Oryctolagus cuniculus: one gene and its partners. The protein of the gene in region 4 interacts with the protein of the main gene of each other region in a pairwise test. Links are inferred from orthologs where the notes say so. Each region holds a gene or a part of one and is shown on either strand. Other genes may lie near its edges.

The links. The genes of interacting proteins can lie anywhere in the genome.
Region 1: the proteins of MEOX2 (region 4) and PCSK5 interact in binary tests that used the Homo sapiens proteins (3 or more experiments, as listed by UniProt). The two-hybrid records come from large-scale screens. The link is inferred for Oryctolagus cuniculus from reciprocal best matches to the Homo sapiens genes MEOX2 and PCSK5.
Region 2: the proteins of MEOX2 (region 4) and UNC45A interact in binary tests that used the Homo sapiens proteins (3 or more experiments, as listed by UniProt). The two-hybrid records come from large-scale screens. The link is inferred for Oryctolagus cuniculus from reciprocal best matches to the Homo sapiens genes MEOX2 and UNC45A.
Region 3: the proteins of MEOX2 (region 4) and GPATCH2L interact in binary tests that used the Homo sapiens proteins (3 or more experiments, as listed by UniProt). The two-hybrid records come from large-scale screens. The link is inferred for Oryctolagus cuniculus from reciprocal best matches to the Homo sapiens genes MEOX2 and GPATCH2L.

What each region holds. Positions count from the first base shown.
Region 1 is NC_091432.1:154,377,776-154,381,711, forward strand, and holds the start of PCSK5 (proprotein convertase subtilisin/kexin type 5), read right to left. Parts: upstream 2,801-3,936; 5' UTR 2,277-2,800; coding exon 2,085-2,276; intron 1-2,084. UniProt on the Homo sapiens protein: Serine endoprotease that processes various proproteins by cleavage at paired basic amino acids, recognizing the RXXX[KR]R consensus motif. Likely functions in the constitutive and regulated secretory pathways.
Region 2 is NC_091443.1:100,330,543-100,334,743, forward strand, and holds the start of UNC45A (protein unc-45 homolog A), read right to left. Parts: upstream 2,801-4,201; 5' UTR 2,679-2,800; coding exon 2,673-2,678; intron 2,464-2,672; coding exon 2,302-2,463; intron 2,162-2,301; coding exon 2,125-2,161; intron 1,909-2,124; coding exon of another isoform or gene 1,839-1,908; coding exon 1,663-1,838; intron 1-1,662. Other genes in the region: protein shisa-like-1, read right to left, coding at 2,877-3,039, 3,400-3,610, 3,733-3,838.
Region 3 is NC_091451.1:22,120,136-22,124,246, forward strand, and holds the start of GPATCH2L (G patch domain-containing protein 2-like), read left to right. Parts: upstream 1-1,311; 5' UTR 1,312-1,431; intron 1,432-3,812; 5' UTR 3,813-3,823; coding exon 3,824-4,111.
Region 4 is NC_091447.1:7,289,576-7,293,515, reverse strand, and holds the start of MEOX2 (homeobox protein MOX-2), read left to right. Parts: upstream 1-1,140; 5' UTR 1,141-1,428; coding exon 1,429-1,942; intron 1,943-3,940. UniProt on the Homo sapiens protein: Mesodermal transcription factor that plays a key role in somitogenesis and somitogenesis and limb muscle differentiation. Required during limb development for normal appendicular muscle formation and for the normal regulation of myogenic genes.

The DNA of each region.
Region 1 (3,936 bases), on a different chromosome or scaffold from region 4:
TTAAGTTGTACTCAGTGAATACAGAAAGATATAGGAGCTTCTGCCACTGCAGGTCCTGAAAGCACCCTAGGGCCATGCAGTCCAGGTTTGATTGAACTAAGTATCTGCCAATTAGGAATCATGGCTGCAGGAGCTATTAAATCAAGAGTCTTAGGAAACGAAGATTCCCTAGAAAACCCTCACACAGAGAGCCTAAGAACTGAATCAAGGCTTTGCCACTGTCTCTCTGGGCGGCCCTGTTGGAGTTCAACCCCCAAGAGCCTTGATTTCTTGTCCCGCGGTAAGTCACAGGCCAGGGTCGTTTGGCAATTAAGAAAGAGGCATATCTTCAAGGAACTCCTTCCAAATTTGCCTGGCATAGGGGAGTTGTTGAAGAATGTGGGATGTGAGTCTCTGGGAAGATTTCCCCCACTACTGTACTTTCAGGGCCAGCCTTCCTGGTTACATTCCCGAGATGGGTGCAGCGCTCAACTCTTAAGTCCAAATCAAAAGACCGCAACGGACCCGGGGTTTTTCTCCAAGAGACAAGGAAGGAAGCCAGCAGAAGCCTAACAAGCCGTGTGCAGATGACAGGCGCGCGGGCAACAAAATCTGGCGGGTCCCGCAACTTCCTCGAGGGCGGGGGAGGGGAGGAGCCGCGGCGGACGTGTAGCCCGCAGAGTATCCATTCCGTGCCCCTGGCCCCTGTCTTCCTGCTCCAACAAAATCGGCTTCTCTGGAGTGCGCCCTCCCTTCTCTGTGCGGGCTGCGAGCGAGACCTAGCGCTGCCGCTCACCTGAACCTTCCCGCGCTCCCTAGCTCCTCCTAACCGCGGCGACAGCAGCTCTCCGGGCGCTGCTCCCCTCGCCCCCCACCCCCACCCCGCAACGCCCAGGGCTCCCCGAGTTCCTGGATTGGGAGCGTCAGAGCATCAGACACCACCCGTGCTCTCCTGCCCCAGAGGCACCGGCTGGCTCCTTCCTCTCGGCTTTGGCTGGCAGAGCACACACACAGGGTGCGTGTCCCTTGAGGAAAGGGCGCCCCCTTCACCCTCTTCGCCCACCCCGGCAGAATCTCGCTGAAGCTTGGCCAAGGTCCCTTCCTCGGCCAGCCCGGGGGGAGCTCCCTGGAGGCAAGGGCGCTTTCTGGGACACAGTTCCACAGCCTTCTCCACCCCCATTTCTCATACGGACGTGGGGGGAGACTGGGGTGCTGGGGAGAAGAGAACGTGGCAGCCAAGTCCCTTTACCCGTCCTACCTCTAAATCACCCCACAGCATCCCCTCAGTGAGCTGGCATTTCCCTTCAGCACGGTAACTCTACCGAAAGCCCGCGGGCGACACCCCACAAAAACCCCGCGCTTCTGCTGCCCGCCCCGGGCCCGCCGGGCCGGTCCCGCCCGGGGGCAGCTTCCCCGTTTTCCCAGGAGCAAAACGCGGTCTACGCGCTTTGTAAGTTGCCCACCGCCCCCCCGCCCCCGCCGGAAGCACCCCCATGAGGGTCGAACCTGCGCCCGGCGCGGCAGCGGGGAGGTCTCCCCCAAATCTGCGCTCGCACCAGGTCCCGCCCCCTCTGACCCCCCTTTTCCCGCCTCCGCTAAAGCTCCAGTCCCCGCGCTCCGGCGACTCCGGCGCCCAGTGGACCCGCAGCTCGGTAAGAGGAAACTACTTTCTGGGCAGCATTCAGGTCGGAGCAGGAAAGGATGTCCCTGGCCGGCCGGGGCCAAGGGCGCACTCACCCCTCAAAAGCGCTCACCCCACCCGCTGAGACTTTTCCCTCAGGCCACCAGCGCTACCAGACTTTGCAGTCCACAAGGTCCCGCCAGGTCTGATACCGCCACGGAGTCACCTCAGATTTTTTTTTTTTTCCAGAGACCCTACCTGTCCCGTGTGGCTTGCCAAACACGAGTAAACAAAACACAAGCCCCGCCGACTTCGGGCCGTGTGCGTGTGTGTATGTGAGCGCGCGCACGAGCAAGAGAGCATCGCCCGAGAGTTCGGCAACAGCTGCAGGAGCATCTGGAAGAGGGGGAGGGGGCGCCGCGAGGGGACAAGGAGCACCCAGCGGCTTCAGGACCCAGGGCCCGGCCAGCCTGGCGTTCCTTACCTGTCCTATGTTGAGGAATCCGTACTTGCTGGCGATGCGGTCGGCCTCCGCGAAGCCGCCGGAGATTTTGACTGCCCAGTGGTTGGTGTAGACGCGCGTCCGGCACACCGGGAGCAGGCAGCCCCCGAGCAGCGCTAGCACGCACAGCAGGTCCAGTCGTCCCGGGCAGCAACAGAGGTTCCCCCAGCCCATGGTCCCGGCGCCTCGCTGCCTCTCTCCCTCGCTCGCTCGCTCGCTGGCTCTGCGCGCTGAGCGGCGCGCACAACTAACTTCGGCCTGGGCCGCCCCGGCGCGCAGCCCCGCGGCTCGCAGCCCCAGGCGATCGGCAGGAGGCGGCGAGCGCCGACAGGGAGCAAAGCAGCGGACCTCTCGCCGGCTCCTAGACCATCCCTGGGGCTGCGGAGACCCAGAGCTCCCCGCTCTCCAGCCCGCGGGGCGGTCAGCCGGCGCTCCTCGGCTCCGGCGCAGGGCGGGCGCCCTCCGCAGTTGGGTCTCTCCGGCCGGGCTCCGGGACTCCCCGACTGCCTCTTGCTCCTTCCTGGGCCCCCAAGAGCGGCGAAGTCGGCCGGCGGGGGCAGTGCAGCCAGCGGCCGGGCGCCCCCTCTGCTGGCCCGGGCTCCGAGCGCTCGCTGGCTGGCTCCCTGCGCTCTCTCCGGCACCGAGCAGCGCGCGGGGAGTGAGAGTGGCAATGGCAGCAGCGCCTGCTCTGCATAAATGACTCCCCCCGCCCCCTTCAACACCCCTCCTTTCCCACATCCCCCTCCTCCGCCCTCTCGAGAGAGGCCGCGGCCAAGCGCCAGCCGGGTCCTAGCGCCTCCGCGTTCTCCCGCTGTAATCTCCCGAGTCCCGGGCGGCCGAGGCAAGCGAGTCTTCTCAAATGACACGGAGGGGAGCTCCGGGGTCTTGATTTAACCCCTTTTTTCCCCTCTCTTCGTTACAGGATTTGTATTCTTCCGCCGCCCGTTTCCGAAAGACCGAGATTGGCACGCTGGTGCGAGTGAAGCGCCCAGAAGATTCATTCATCCTCTCCCTAAACGTCCTTAAACAACTAAGCATTTAAGGAGGTCACTGGCGTGTCAATTACCCAACAAATAACCCGAGATTTTCACTTCGTTAATTCTTCACGCTTTTCAGCAACTGTTTATTTTACACATTCTACTCCTGGGAGGAACTACCACCCAGGACAGCACATCGCGTGGACTCTGGCAAACGCCAATCGCCACGGCTCCAAAGCCAGGTCCAGCGCCCGCTGACTTTCGAAATCGGCGCATCCGATAGCAGGCAGAGCCACGCGAGAGCAAAATTCCAGCCGGGGAACTGAGGAAAGGTGTTTCTATGAAAATCTGGTACAAAAATGGATGGAGATGTTGGGCCAAGGGAATACTTCATTCATTTGTTTCGTGGCTCCTTTCTCCCCACCAAGGGAAAAAGTTTCCCAACTTTTCCAGTTACAGCCCTGTAACCACTACAGGCTTTAACAGAAACAGGACCACAGAGAAACTTCTGATGAAGTATGCGGCCGCCTTCAAGGCTCACTGCATGCACAAGGCAGGAGGGAACTAGGATGGACTCTCTTCCAGCTTTTCCTGTACAGCCTCTCTGCCTTGTGCATGGGGCTGATGCACAAACGGTGAGTTACTGTAAAAGAAAGAAAAATCGTCCTCATGAATGAAGCCAACTTGCCTTTAAAGTCTTTACTATAGCCTGAACTCGCCCACCCCTGTTTTTCTCCCCTTCCTCCCATGTCCTGTTCTCTTTCTTCCTGAGCGTTAGTTAAGCCTATTTGATAGTCTAACCCATCACGTCTGTCGTTTCCAGTAATGATTGTGTTATCTAAATATGCTTGCAAACA
Region 2 (4,201 bases), on a different chromosome or scaffold from region 4:
ATGCGCGTTAGCAGGAAGCCAAAAACAGGAGTGGAGCTGGGGTGTGCACCCAGGCACTCCAATACGGGACGCAGGCATCCAAGCTGCCTCTTAACTGCTAGCACCAACGCCCACTTTAACACCAAAGTAGCTGCTTGACACAGGCTTGGCGGTAGCTCATGGCGATCGTTAGATTCTGTTTCCACTAGCTTTGAAACACGTGTACCACACACCGTTCCTTCTTTGAGAAATACTGACGGGCAGGCATTTGTCCTCAGTACACCTGGGCCCTTATCAAGTCCTGGCTCCGCTCCCAATTCCAGCTTCCTGCCAGACACTGGTAACCACTCAAATAACTGGCTCACCACCACCCACGTGGGGGACCTAGACTCCCACTTCAGCCTGGTCTACCTCTGGCTGTTGTGGGCACTTGGGGAGTGAACCAGCAGACAGGAACCCATCTCTGCCTCTCAAATTTAAAACAGTTAAGGGATGACGCAGGGACTCCACTCACTCCCCTTCCTTCCCCAGAGGTCACAGTGTTACCATTTTGATATACTCGTCCTTTCCTTTGGACGCCCACCCCCCAGGGTAAAGCAGTTTTCGGTGTGGGGGACCATTTTAACACACTGTGTGTTACTGAGCAGTCTTTCCTCATTGGCCGGCTCTCCCATTGCCTCCGATCCGCCTGTTCTGAGTAACCACAACACGGGAGTCTGCAGTGACGACATCACCCTGGTATTTAGCCATTCCCCTCCTGCCAGGCATTTAGGCGAGTTCCAAGTTTTCCTTACTAGAAACAAGGCTGCAATAAACACACGCGTACAAACTCGTGCACGCAGGCAAGGCCTCTCTAGGGCAGGGGTGGGGAACGTTCAGTGTCTGAGCCATATAAGGCTGCGAAATCATTTGTTCTGGCCAAGGCAACCACCGAAGAGACTCAAAATTCCGCAAACTACAGCAGGCTGCTTTTTAAGTCCATCATTTTCTATGGCCCATAATGACGGTGGACAGATCCAAACGGCCCTTGGCAGACAAAAGGTTCCCTCGCCCCTGCTCCAGGGAAAACAGCAAGAAGTGAACACACTGGGGTAGGTGTCTGTGGTGGGCAGGTGAAGCTGCAGCTTAGACACCCACATCCATATCAGAGTGCCTGGTCTGTCTTGTCTAGTCTGCTTCCAATCCAGCTTCCTGCTAACACTCACGCCTGGGGAGGCAGCGGCAGCCAGCCCAAGTGCTAGGGTCCCTGAACTCCCGTGGGAGACCTGGCTGGAGTTCGGGGCTCCTGGCTTCAGCCTGGCCCAACCCCAGCTGTTGCGGGCATTTAGGGCGTGAACCAGCAGATGGAAGCGTTCTCTCTCCATCTCTCCCCTTCTCTGTCACTCTGCCTTTCAAATAAATAAATAAATAAATAAAACGTACCAAAGGGGGGGGTAAATATAGTAGATTACAGATTATGAGCATTTAACACTTCCAGACGTTGTACCAATTTCCACCCCCGCCAGCAGTCACACGAGCCCTGCCCCCCAATCTCACCACTTAAGCGGTGACAACTACCAGCACCAGGCTGCACCTGTAGTTTGCTCTTCGCCGGGCACCATCCTGCGCGCCCACACCCAGGGAGCTGTGCCTACCCCCGCACCACCACCCGGCACCACCGCTCGGTGCCCGGATCCCCCATACCTTCTCCTGGATCTGGCCCGCGATGTTCCGCAGGGCCTCCTGGAAGATTCTGTTCTTGGGCTCCAGGCTCACGCATCTCTGCAGGTCCAGCACGGCCTGGTCCAGGCGGCCCAGCTTCTCCAGGGCTTGGCTCCGCCGGTAGAGCGCTTTGATGTCCCCGCCGTCCTTTTCGATGGCTGAGCACAAACAGGAGCTTGTCAGCACCCGTGAGGCCACCGTGTCCGGGCGAGAGCAGGAGAGAAAGCTCTGGAGGGCCAGAGGAAGGGGTGGGGGTGGGGGTGGGAGACAGAGGTGGGGCTCGGTACTCCAGCCCCAGACAAGGTACAGGTAGCTGTGAAAAGGGCAGGCCCCAGCAAGTGCGAAGGGAGGAGGCAGGCGAGCTAGGGGGTCACAGCAGCAGACGCGGTGGTGATGCAGTGGCCCCAGGATTGTCGCCCGTGTCACGAGCCGGCGCTCGCCTACCTTTCGATGCCTCGGCTTCGGCTTTGTCATAGTCCTCCTGTGAGAGAGCAGGTGCCTGAGCGGAGGGTCCCCCCCTCCCGGGGACCGGCCGCGTGGCAGTCACCCACGCCCCTCCCATCCATTCCGCGGCCCCCCAGACATGTGACAAAGCGGGGTGGCCAGGCTGGGGCTCCTCACCAGCCTGAGGTGGCAGGCGGCCAGGTTCCGGTGCAGGACGGCCTGGTCCTGCGGCGTCGCGCCCAGACCCAGGGCCTGGGTGTAGGCCGCCAGGGCGCCCTCGTAGTCTCCGCATTTGAACAGCTCGTTGCCCTGCTTCCGCAGCTGCTCCGCCGAGCTGGCCTGTGGGGAGGGGGCGGCGGGCCGCGTCGCGGTGGGCTCGGGGGAGAGGGAGCGGGGAGCGCGGCCCGCGGGCGAGCGCCGTGCAGAGCCAGGAACGCGGGAGGCGGTGGCCAGGGTATGGTCAGGGAAGGGGCGCGGAGGTGCGGGAAGAGCCTCGTACCCCGGGACGGCGGGCCGGGGCTCGGGGTGGGGGTGCCTGGACCACTCACAGTCATCGCAGAGCCGATGTCCCTTCCCCGCGCAGCCGCAGTCTCTGGGGCGGGGGTGTGTCTAGGCTCCGGAAGCCGTCGCGAGAGGCCCCGCCCAGCGCTGTGTCAGGGAAGGGGCGGAGCCACGGAGAGGACGTGCTGCCCAGGCGGGGCGGGGCTCTCCGTGCGCAGGCGCAGAGAGGGCCCCAGGCGTGCCTTGCGTGTTCACGCGGAGACCCGTAGGGGGCGAGCCGCCGAGGACCTAGAGGGAGGTGCGCGGCGGCCCCGGCGCGGGCTCCGGCCACGGCAGAAGTGCACCAGGTCTGTGGTCATTAGGGCCACCAGCAGCAGGCTGTAGAGGCCCAGCGCTAGGAGCGGGCCCGGGCCCCTATGGGAGAGGAGAGAGTGTTAGCAGCAGAGAAATGTAGATCTTCACGTACTCATTGGCGCACACATTTGGATGGACACTGGCATCCTGGGTGTAATCCACGCGCGACAGGCCCTTCTGAGCCGCCCCGACCCCCTCTGCCTCACGACACACCCCTTGACTCAGGGTGGGTGCCCACTTCCCGCAGCCCCCGGCACTTTTCCATTGCAGAAGTGTGTGTCATGATTGACGGGACTTCGCTCATTGTCCCCGCGCTAATCCGCAAACTGCAAACTCGCCACCCCACTCCACCCCGGAACCTGGGAACAGAGCCCCGGATCCTAGAACCCCTGGTCGGTGGCTCCGGGTTGGGGTCCGCACCTGAGGATGGGCGGGGGCGGAAGGGCGGACAGGTTGACTCGGTGTAGGGCCTCGAATTCTGCCCGCGTGCAGCAGGAGCCCTCGGCAGCCCGCAGGTGGCAGCAGTAGGCCTCCTCCGGGGCGTCGGAGAGCCGAGGGCAGAAGAAACCCCGGTGGAGGCGGCCGTCGGCGTCCGGGCTGGTCTGGCACAAGTGGGGGTGGTGGGCCAAAGCTGAGGAGAGAGGCACGGGGGCTGGAGGCCAGCGGGAGGGGCCTGCCCACGCCAGAAAAGCAGGCTCCCTTCTCCTCCCCTCCGCCCCCAGCAGCCCGCAAAACGCCCGGGAAGCGCAGTACCTGAGAGAGAGGTGGGCCGAGCACGGGACCCCGGACCCAGGAGCAGCAGTAGCCCCACCCACAGGCCTGTGGGCGAGGGGCCGGGCCCCCTTTTCTGGAAGCCCATGAGAGGTCACCTCGGCCTCCGCCCTGGTGCTAGGAACCCCAGCATCTCCTCGGCGTGGCCGCGGTTGCAGACAGAATACAAGATCAAAGCCGCCAGGCCGTGGGCCCACAACCCTGCTGGAGCTGCCCTGTCCCAGGCTTCTGGAGAGAGATGAAAGGGACCGGGTTTGTGTCTCTCGGTGGAATTCGCGCCTGAGGTTTTCTGGGCGCAAGGGGGACCGGCCCGGAATGGAGGGTGAGCGAGAAGTGGGGCCGTGAGCCCCCAGGACAGGCACCAGGAGCTGGGTGAGCTCCTTGCCACCTGTTCTGCAGCTCCCTGGCTGCCCGTGGAAGCCCTGGGAGTTCTCACCCCTCTCTTTCAGCC
Region 3 (4,111 bases), on a different chromosome or scaffold from region 4:
ACAATTTCCCTTATGTCAACATTTCACTTTAGTATAGCACTCTTGTCACACTTAATTAACCAATAACCAATATCGACATAGAATTATTCACTGAAGCCCAGCCTCAATTCAAATTTCTGTAGTTTTTGCCCAGCATCCTTTAACTACTTCAGGTCCCACCCAAGATATCGCATCACATTGTCACAGGATTTTTTTTTTTTAAGATTTTATTTATTTATTTGAGTGCTAGTTACAGACAGTGAGAGGGAGAGACAGAGAGAAAGGTCTTCCATCCGCTGGTTCACTCCCCATATGGGGCCAACGGCTGGAGCTGTGCCAATCCAAAGCCAGGAGCCAGGAGCTTCCTCTGGGTCTCCCATATCGGTGCAGGGGATCAAGGACTCGGGCCATCTTCTACTGCTTTCCCAGGCCACAGCAGAGAGCTGGCTCAGAAGAGCAGCCGGGACTCGAACTGGCACCCATATGGGAGGCCGGTGCTTCAGGCCAGGGCTTTAAACCCGCTGCGCCACAGCGCTGGCCCCTGGCGCAGGTCTTTAGGCTCCTCTTAGCTGTGACAGCTTCCCACGGCTTTCTTTCTCTTCCGTGACAGGCCAGGCAGTCTGTAGACTGTCCCTCGCCTGAGGGTTGTTTTTGGTTTTCTGATTCCCCCTGTGACTAGGTTGGCATCATAGGTTGTGGAAGGGAAGTGTGGATCTCTTCCGCAGTCCACATCCTATCCACGTGACTTCTCAGAGCTGGTGCCGAGGGAGGGTCTGTCAGGTTCCCCCACTGTGAGGGTACTCATTCTCCCCCTTTCCACACTGTTGTCTTTGGAAGAAATCCCTGTGCACAGACTCTGTAAGTTGGGGGTGAGGCTTCCGGGTGCGGCATCTCCACAGACTATGCAGGATTCTTCTGTGGGAGACCCTTCCTCGCCACTCACTCACTCCTCCAGTCATCTAGAGTATGAGCCCACGACTACTTCTTTCCTTCCAACAGTCATAACATTTCACCTGTTTAGTTTCCCAAGGCAGGTGTATTTTTAATGCTTTGAGTAACTCAATGCAAAAACTACTCCTTTTGGGCAGTACCAACACTCAAAGAATCAAGATCCAGTTCTCAGCTTCGCAGCGCCCAACTTCCTGACGCCCCCAAGGGAGGGGAGGACCGCGCTCGGGGTCTCCTGGGCTCGGAGACCCTACTAGTGCCGCTATTCCTCGCCCTTCCCGGCGTCCCAGCTGCTCCGTGGCCCCGCCCACGGTGGGGCGGAAGTGGGCGCGGCCTCAGGGCGGAAGCGCCGGGTCGGGCGGGCCCTCCCGCGCAGCCAGCGCCTTCCACCCCGCCGCCGCCCCACCCCTCCGGCCCAGACCGGAAATGAGATCAGAGAGGGAAACCCTGGCGGGGAGACTCGGCCCAAAAAGCGGTGGCCATTGGAGGCGGCTGCGGCAGCCGGTGAGGGGGAGGAGCGGGAGGAGAGGGTCGGGGTCCAGGGGGCCAACGCCAGAGGGGATCGGGGCTGGAGTCTGAAAGGTTCAGGGCGTTCTGGGGCTGCAGCGGCCGGAGGCTGGGGCTAGGGTGGCGGGGCCTTGCTCTTCAGGGCCCAGGGCCCCCATCCCTGATGATGAGCAGCGGGCCACCCCCGGGGCGACCGCCGCCTCCTCTCCCCGCTGCTGTCTGCCTCCCTTGGCGGCAGCGTGGGCGCGCGGTGCCCTGAGCTGTGATCGCCCTCGCCCTCAGCGACTGGCCGGGGCGTGGTGAGGGTCCCTGGAAACACGATTGTCCTCACCTGTGTGGCAGCGTTGCGCCCCCGATCGCGGAGGGCGCTCGGTCGCCACGACTTGCTCTTTGGCAGCTGAGCCCCCGCCCCTGGTGAGCCCCCGCTCGCCGCACCCGGGTCCTGCGCCCAGCGCCCGCCGCGCCTCCTCGCTGTCCCCCCCACTCCTCCCCGCTTCCGCCGCTTCCCCGGGCGTGACTCACACAGCCTCACCCTCTAGTGGGCTGCGTGCTGCACCGGTGCCTGGCGTGCGGGCGCCCCAGGGTCCTCCCCTCACCCCCTGCTTGGATCGCAGCCTTGGAGGCAGGAGAGGATGCTGTGCCGGCAGGCACTGGACTGGCGGGTGTTTGGTGACTTGGTTCCACGTGCAAGTTTGTGCAGTTCTGCCTGCCCGAGTTCTAAAGCAGGCGTTCTTTATGGGGGCGGTGGGCTTAGGCGTTCTCTGCCCAGCGGCTTCTTGCGGTTGCAGGGGTGCGTTGCCTCTCCTCCTCCCGTCACCTGTTACTGCTCTGGAGGATGTGGGCTTGTGATGCGTGTGGCTTTGGGACTCGCTGGTGGTTTTGGACCTCGGTGTTGCCTTTGCTCTCACAGAGGTGGCACCTCCGCTTTCCTGCCTTGGAGCGCAGAGGCCAGGGGAAAGGGTTTTAGAGAGCCTTGTGCAAGATACCAGCTTCGAGAGGGGAAACGCAGGCTGCCCGCGACGCCGCAGGGTTAAGCCCCAAGTAGGGTCTTTGGGCTTAACGAGGGTTAGGGGAAAGGTGCTAATTTAATGTATATTTAATTAGGTGTTGCACAGATTATATTAGACATTTCCCTTTAAAAGAAGAGTTTTGGAAAATTGTTTGTGTTCCCTGTGGTGTCTCAGGTGACTCAGGAAGTGTGAGAGTTTGGTGAGCATGAGTAGCAAAATTGGAACTTGGGAAAGGAGTTAGCCAGAAAGTTCAGCGATTCTCAGCCCTGTCATTTCAGCATAGTTGTACTCTGGTTTTGCAAGGCGGTGCGGCACCAAAACACATACTTAGGATGATCACTTGTTTTCTGAAGGCTGGGGTGAGCAGCTTAAACGTTGCCAGTTACTCAGACACACGTGACATGTCCAGTGCAGTTCCAGACCTAGTAGCTTCCAGGTTGCCCGCGGTACCAGGTCAGGATGGATGAAGCTTGGTCTCTTGCCCATTCTGAGTACAAACTCGGGTCCCTAAAACCGCAAGCCGCCGTTGCCCCCAAGTTGCCTTGCCCTTCCCTGCCCTGTGCGTTCTCAGCAGGGACCCAGACCGCAGGATGGCCCTTCAGCCGTTCTCCCCCCGGGAGACTGGATTCTGCCCTGTGTTTGCCCAGCTCAGCAGCTGTGTGATTTTCTGTCTGATGAGGCATTATCAGATAATTCAGTGACAAGTTTGGGGGAAAATAGGCCCGATCTATTCTGAGTTTATTTGCCTGGTTTTGTTAAGATTCCAGTTGACATCTGATGAGCGTTTGAGCTTTTGTGCTTAACAACTCCTGACTTCAGCCCTTTCACAAGGGCTAAATACGGGCATTTAACACGGACTGGATACCTGTTTTAGTGACTTAAGGGAACATGGGTGGTTTGAAAGATAAGTGTAGCCAGGGGGCCAGCGCCGCGGCTCAATAGGCTAATCCTCCGCCTGCAGCGCTGGCACACTGGGTTCTAGTCCCGCTCGGGGCGCCGGATTCTGTCCCGGTTGCCCCTCTTCCAGGCCAGCTCTCTGCTGTGGCCAGGGAGTGCAGTGGAGGATGGCCCAAGTACTTGGGCCCTGCACCGGCATGGGAGACCAGGAGAAGCACCTGGCTTCTGGCATCGGATCAGCGCGGTGCACCGGCCGCAGCGGCCATTGGAGGGTGAACCAATGGCAAAGAAAGACCTTTCTCTCTGTCTCTCTCTCACTGTCCACTCTGCCTGTCAAAAAAAAAAAAAAAAAAGTGTAGCCAGGGGACTTTATATTTTCTGTAGGATTCTGCAGTTCTGCCATCTGTCTTAAAAAATTACTTGAACACAGTGGACCCGAGTCAGGCTTTTTTTTTGAACTTCCTTTTGCAGATGTGGCCCTCATGGATGAGCTGGTACATGACTTAGCCTCCGCCTTAGAGCAGACCTCTGAGCAGAATAAGCTTGGCGAGCTGTGGGAGGAGATGGCCCTGAGCCCGCGGCAGCAGAGGCGGCAGCTCCGGAGGCGCCGGGGCCGGAAGCGCCGGTCTGACTTCACGCACCTGGCGGAGCACGCCTGCTGCTTCAGCGAGGCCTCCGAGTCGAGCCTGGATGAGGCCATCAAGGACTGTCGAGAAGTGGCCCCGGTCACCACTTTCAGCGACTCTGATGACACCACGGTGGCCAAACGG
Region 4 (3,940 bases):
TGGGAGCCGGCTGCCCCGCGGCCCGGTGCGCCCCCGGGACAGAGCCAGCGGCCCGCATGCGCTCAGGGACTCCAAACTTATGCTTTCCTGTTTGCGGGATGCAAACCCGAAACGCCCAAGCGCCGATGGCACGCATCAGAGTGTTCGGTTTCCCAATCAGTGGCACCATAGCGCAGTGAGGAGGAGTGTGTGGAAGGAGCTGGTTTGTGTGGGAGCGGGAGAGAGGCGGTGGGGTTCTGGAGGAAAATCAAGGGCCCTGGGTTGCCTCCTGGGGGAGGAGGGGGCGAGGCTGGGAGCACGCGTGCAAATCCGCACGTGGCATGTGACAGGGACAAACTCTCTTCAGAATCTTCCCGGCCCAGGACAGCTTGCTCTAGATGGACTGGTGGCTGGGAAATGGAGTGGGACCAGTTTCGCTGTGACGGTCAGGGGGCGGGACGCCAAGGCAGGGCACCAGTAGGCGGCTCACGTCGGGATGCCTGGGCGCGGGCTTCCGCGCACTTTCCGCCGGCTCACCGCACCCAGTCCCGGTCCATTCGGTCTCGAGCGCTGCCCACTTGCGGGTCGCGCTGCGCAACTCCGCACCTGGACCCTACCCCAGAGCCCGGTGCCCGGCCGGCGCACACACCTCGGCGGCAAAAAGCCGGGCGCGCCTTGTGCCCCGGGGCGCACGCAGCGAGCGAAGTCTGAGAAACTTCTCGCAGCGTGCGCTAGACTTGGCTCTGCTCTGCCCTTTTCAGCCGCGCTCACTCCCCCAGGGGTTGGGCGCACCCCTAAGCTTTCCTGCGGGTGACAGTTTCCAAATGGCACTGACAAGTCATGGTGCGCGGGTAGGGGCTGGGGGGTGGGTGCGGAGCCGGGACTGGCGGGATCCCGGCGCCTGGTGCGCGGCTTGCAGCCCGGGGCTGCTGGCAGGGCCGGGCGGGCGGGGACACGCGGAAGGACTGTCCAGCCGGCAGTGGGAAGCGGGGCTGGGAGCGCGGGGCGCAGACTGAGCGGGCGCGCTGGAGGAGCTCGCATGTGGTCAGCGCCAGGCTCCTAAGCCAGCCCCCGGCTCACGTTACACTCTATTTATAACCTCCCAGAGCCCTTCCTCCCCCCCCCACCCCACCCCCCAGGCGTATAGTTCTCTGGGACCACCTTCTTTTGGCTTCGACCGCTCCCACTCTTGACATCCGAGTCGCTCGGAGGGAAGCTCCTCTGGGTCCCAGTGTTTATATGTGAAGGAGACCGGCCCGAGGGTTTAGGACAGGGATTACACGAGCGCTGCCGGAAAGCCCGCGCGGCTCTGGCCTGGGGACACAGGGGCGGCGTAGGGTGCGGGGGAAGCCACACGATTGCCACGGAGAAGCGCCCGCAGGCTGGTGGTGCCAGCGTTGGTGCGGTCGTCTTGAAGTCTTCCCGCCTGGAGCCCGCGACTTGCATGCTATGGAACACCCGCTCTTTGGCTGCCTGCGCAGCCCGCACGCCACGGCGCAAGGCTTGCACCCGTTCTCTCAGTCGTCGCTCGCCCTGCACGGGAGATCCGACCACATGTCCTACCCGGAGCTCTCCACTTCGTCGTCCTCGTGCATCATCGCGGGATACCCCAACGAAGAGGGCATGTTCGCCAGCCAGCACCACCGGGGCCACCACCACCACCACCATCACCACCACCACCACCACCAGCAGCAACAGCACCAGGCGCTGCAAACCAACTGGCACCTCCCGCAGATGTCCTCCCCGCCCAGCGCGGCGCGCCACAGCCTCTGCCTGCAGCCGGACTCCGGAGGGCCCCCGGAACTGGGCAGCAGCCCGCCGGTCCTGTGCTCCAACTCCTCCAGCCTGGGCTCCAGCACCCCGACTGGGGCCGCTTGCGCGCCGGGGGACTACGGTCGTCAGACGCTGTCACCCGCGGAGGTGGAGAAGCGAAGCGGGGGCAAGAGGAAAAGCGACAGCTCAGGTAAGGTGCGCGCCAAGGACCCTCGGCCGGAGTGCAGACGCAGCTGGGTCGGGCCAGGGCGGCAGTTTGCAAGCGCTGGAGGCTGCAGCGGGGCACAGCAAAAGCTGGGGCAGTGTCCAGCCCGCGCAGGTTTGGGAGATGCGGCTGTGGTCCCAGTTACTTGGGGGGGCGAGGGGAGTGTTACCCTTGTGCGCAACCTACACGCAGCCAGCAGCGGCAGCTCTAGGCTTCCCAAGGTCCCAAACTACTTCTCCAGAAGTTTGAGACCAAAGGGGAGCGAGTGACAGTTTGTGAAATCGATTGCGCGGCGTGACGGCCGGGCGCGGCGCCGGGAGGGGCGTGCGCCTGGGGATGCGTGTCCGTGGGGCGGGCGTGCGGGTGCGGCTCCCGGACTTCTGCCTCGCATGTTCCCGACTCCGAATGGCTCGCTTTTTCCCATCGTTAACTGGCTTTCCAAATCGTTGCACAATATTTGGAACCTTGGAATGGAACTTGGCAGAGCGTATGAGAAAAAAAAAAAGTTTTAGGTTATTTATTTATTTATTCTGGATTTCAGGATTCCTTAAATAGCAACCTATTCTAAATGGTAAATGCTTCCCTTTCTTGGGAAAGGAAGATAGTGTCTAAGAAGTTTTTTTTTTTTTTTTTTTTTTTTTTTTAAGGAGCATGTCAGAAATTTTTAAACAAATAGATGACGAAAAGTATTGGAGAAAGACGATTGTTAGGAGTAGTTAGTAGTATTCGTATGATACCAATGCAAAGGGAGAATCGAAGAGGTTTCAGGGTGGAAGATCAACTCCTCTCTCAATGAGTGCAATACGACAAAAACTGGGAATCCAAGGGCAGGTCCAGTGCTGTCTGCTCAAAGTGATACGCGCAACGGGGCACCCACCAGGCGTTCGTCTGCGTGCCCGGAACCTAACAGCCCTGGGAGCGCCGGAACGCGCAGCTTGCCCGGGAAATCTAACCACAGAGGCAGGTCTGCAAAGCCCTTACCTGCCTGCATTGTGATGAAATTGTTCAGAGGATTTTTCACTGAAGGGGAGTTGTGACCCTGGGTTCCTTCGTGTTTTAGGAAGATGTCATTTGCGCAATAGAACACTTAGCGTGTGTTTCTTTTGCGAAATTGATGTCTATAGTCCCAGAAGATAATCTCAGCCGTGGGTTGAAAGAGTTGGCAGATGTCTATCTCCTGTAAAGCTTTAGGCCACATAAAGGACGCAGATGGAAATGAGCGTTGGAATTGCTTTGCAGCGATGCTACCGATCTTTCTTCAGTTTAGCCTGCGCTGGATTTCTTTCGACTTTTACTTTCCAGGGTCAGGGGTGGACCATTAATGCCCCATCACAAATTAGTTAATATCTAAGAAAGTTACTAGCGATGTCACTCATTTTTAATGGGTTTTACTAACTACAAATGAAACTCTCTTAAGACCAGTTGAAAGGTTAATCCCAGCAAGAAGGTTTTCATCTTCATTATTTAAAGATAAATAAATAAACAAGGGCCAGTTTTAGACAGCAATGGCCCTTGCACAGACTGGGCGCTGGATATCAGTGTTGGTGTGGAAGCGGTGGCAGTTCAGGCGGTTCGGGCTGATGAGAACATCCTTCTAGAACTAGAAGCTCTGAGTGAGCGGCCCTTCTCACTCTCCGCGGGAGAAGCCGGATGATGGGCTCCCTCCTCAGGCGTCCTGACTCAGCCCAGTACCCCTGAGTGTCTTAGGGCAAATCCGAATTTCATAGGGCAAGTGTGATTTTGTTTGGGACAGATAGAGAAAGTGGAATACAAGAACTGATGCCCACGAATTGTTTCAATGAAACTTAAAAAAAAAAAAAATTGGCCTCCTTTAATGCTCCTTAGCTCCTCTCTCATGGATGAGAAATTAGCCATATAACAAAGTAAAATTCATTTTTACATGTTGAAGCTGATATTTAGGGTCCATGAAAAGCAAGTTTGTGTCAGCCGCATAAAGTATTGATAGATTACAGCTTGAGTGGG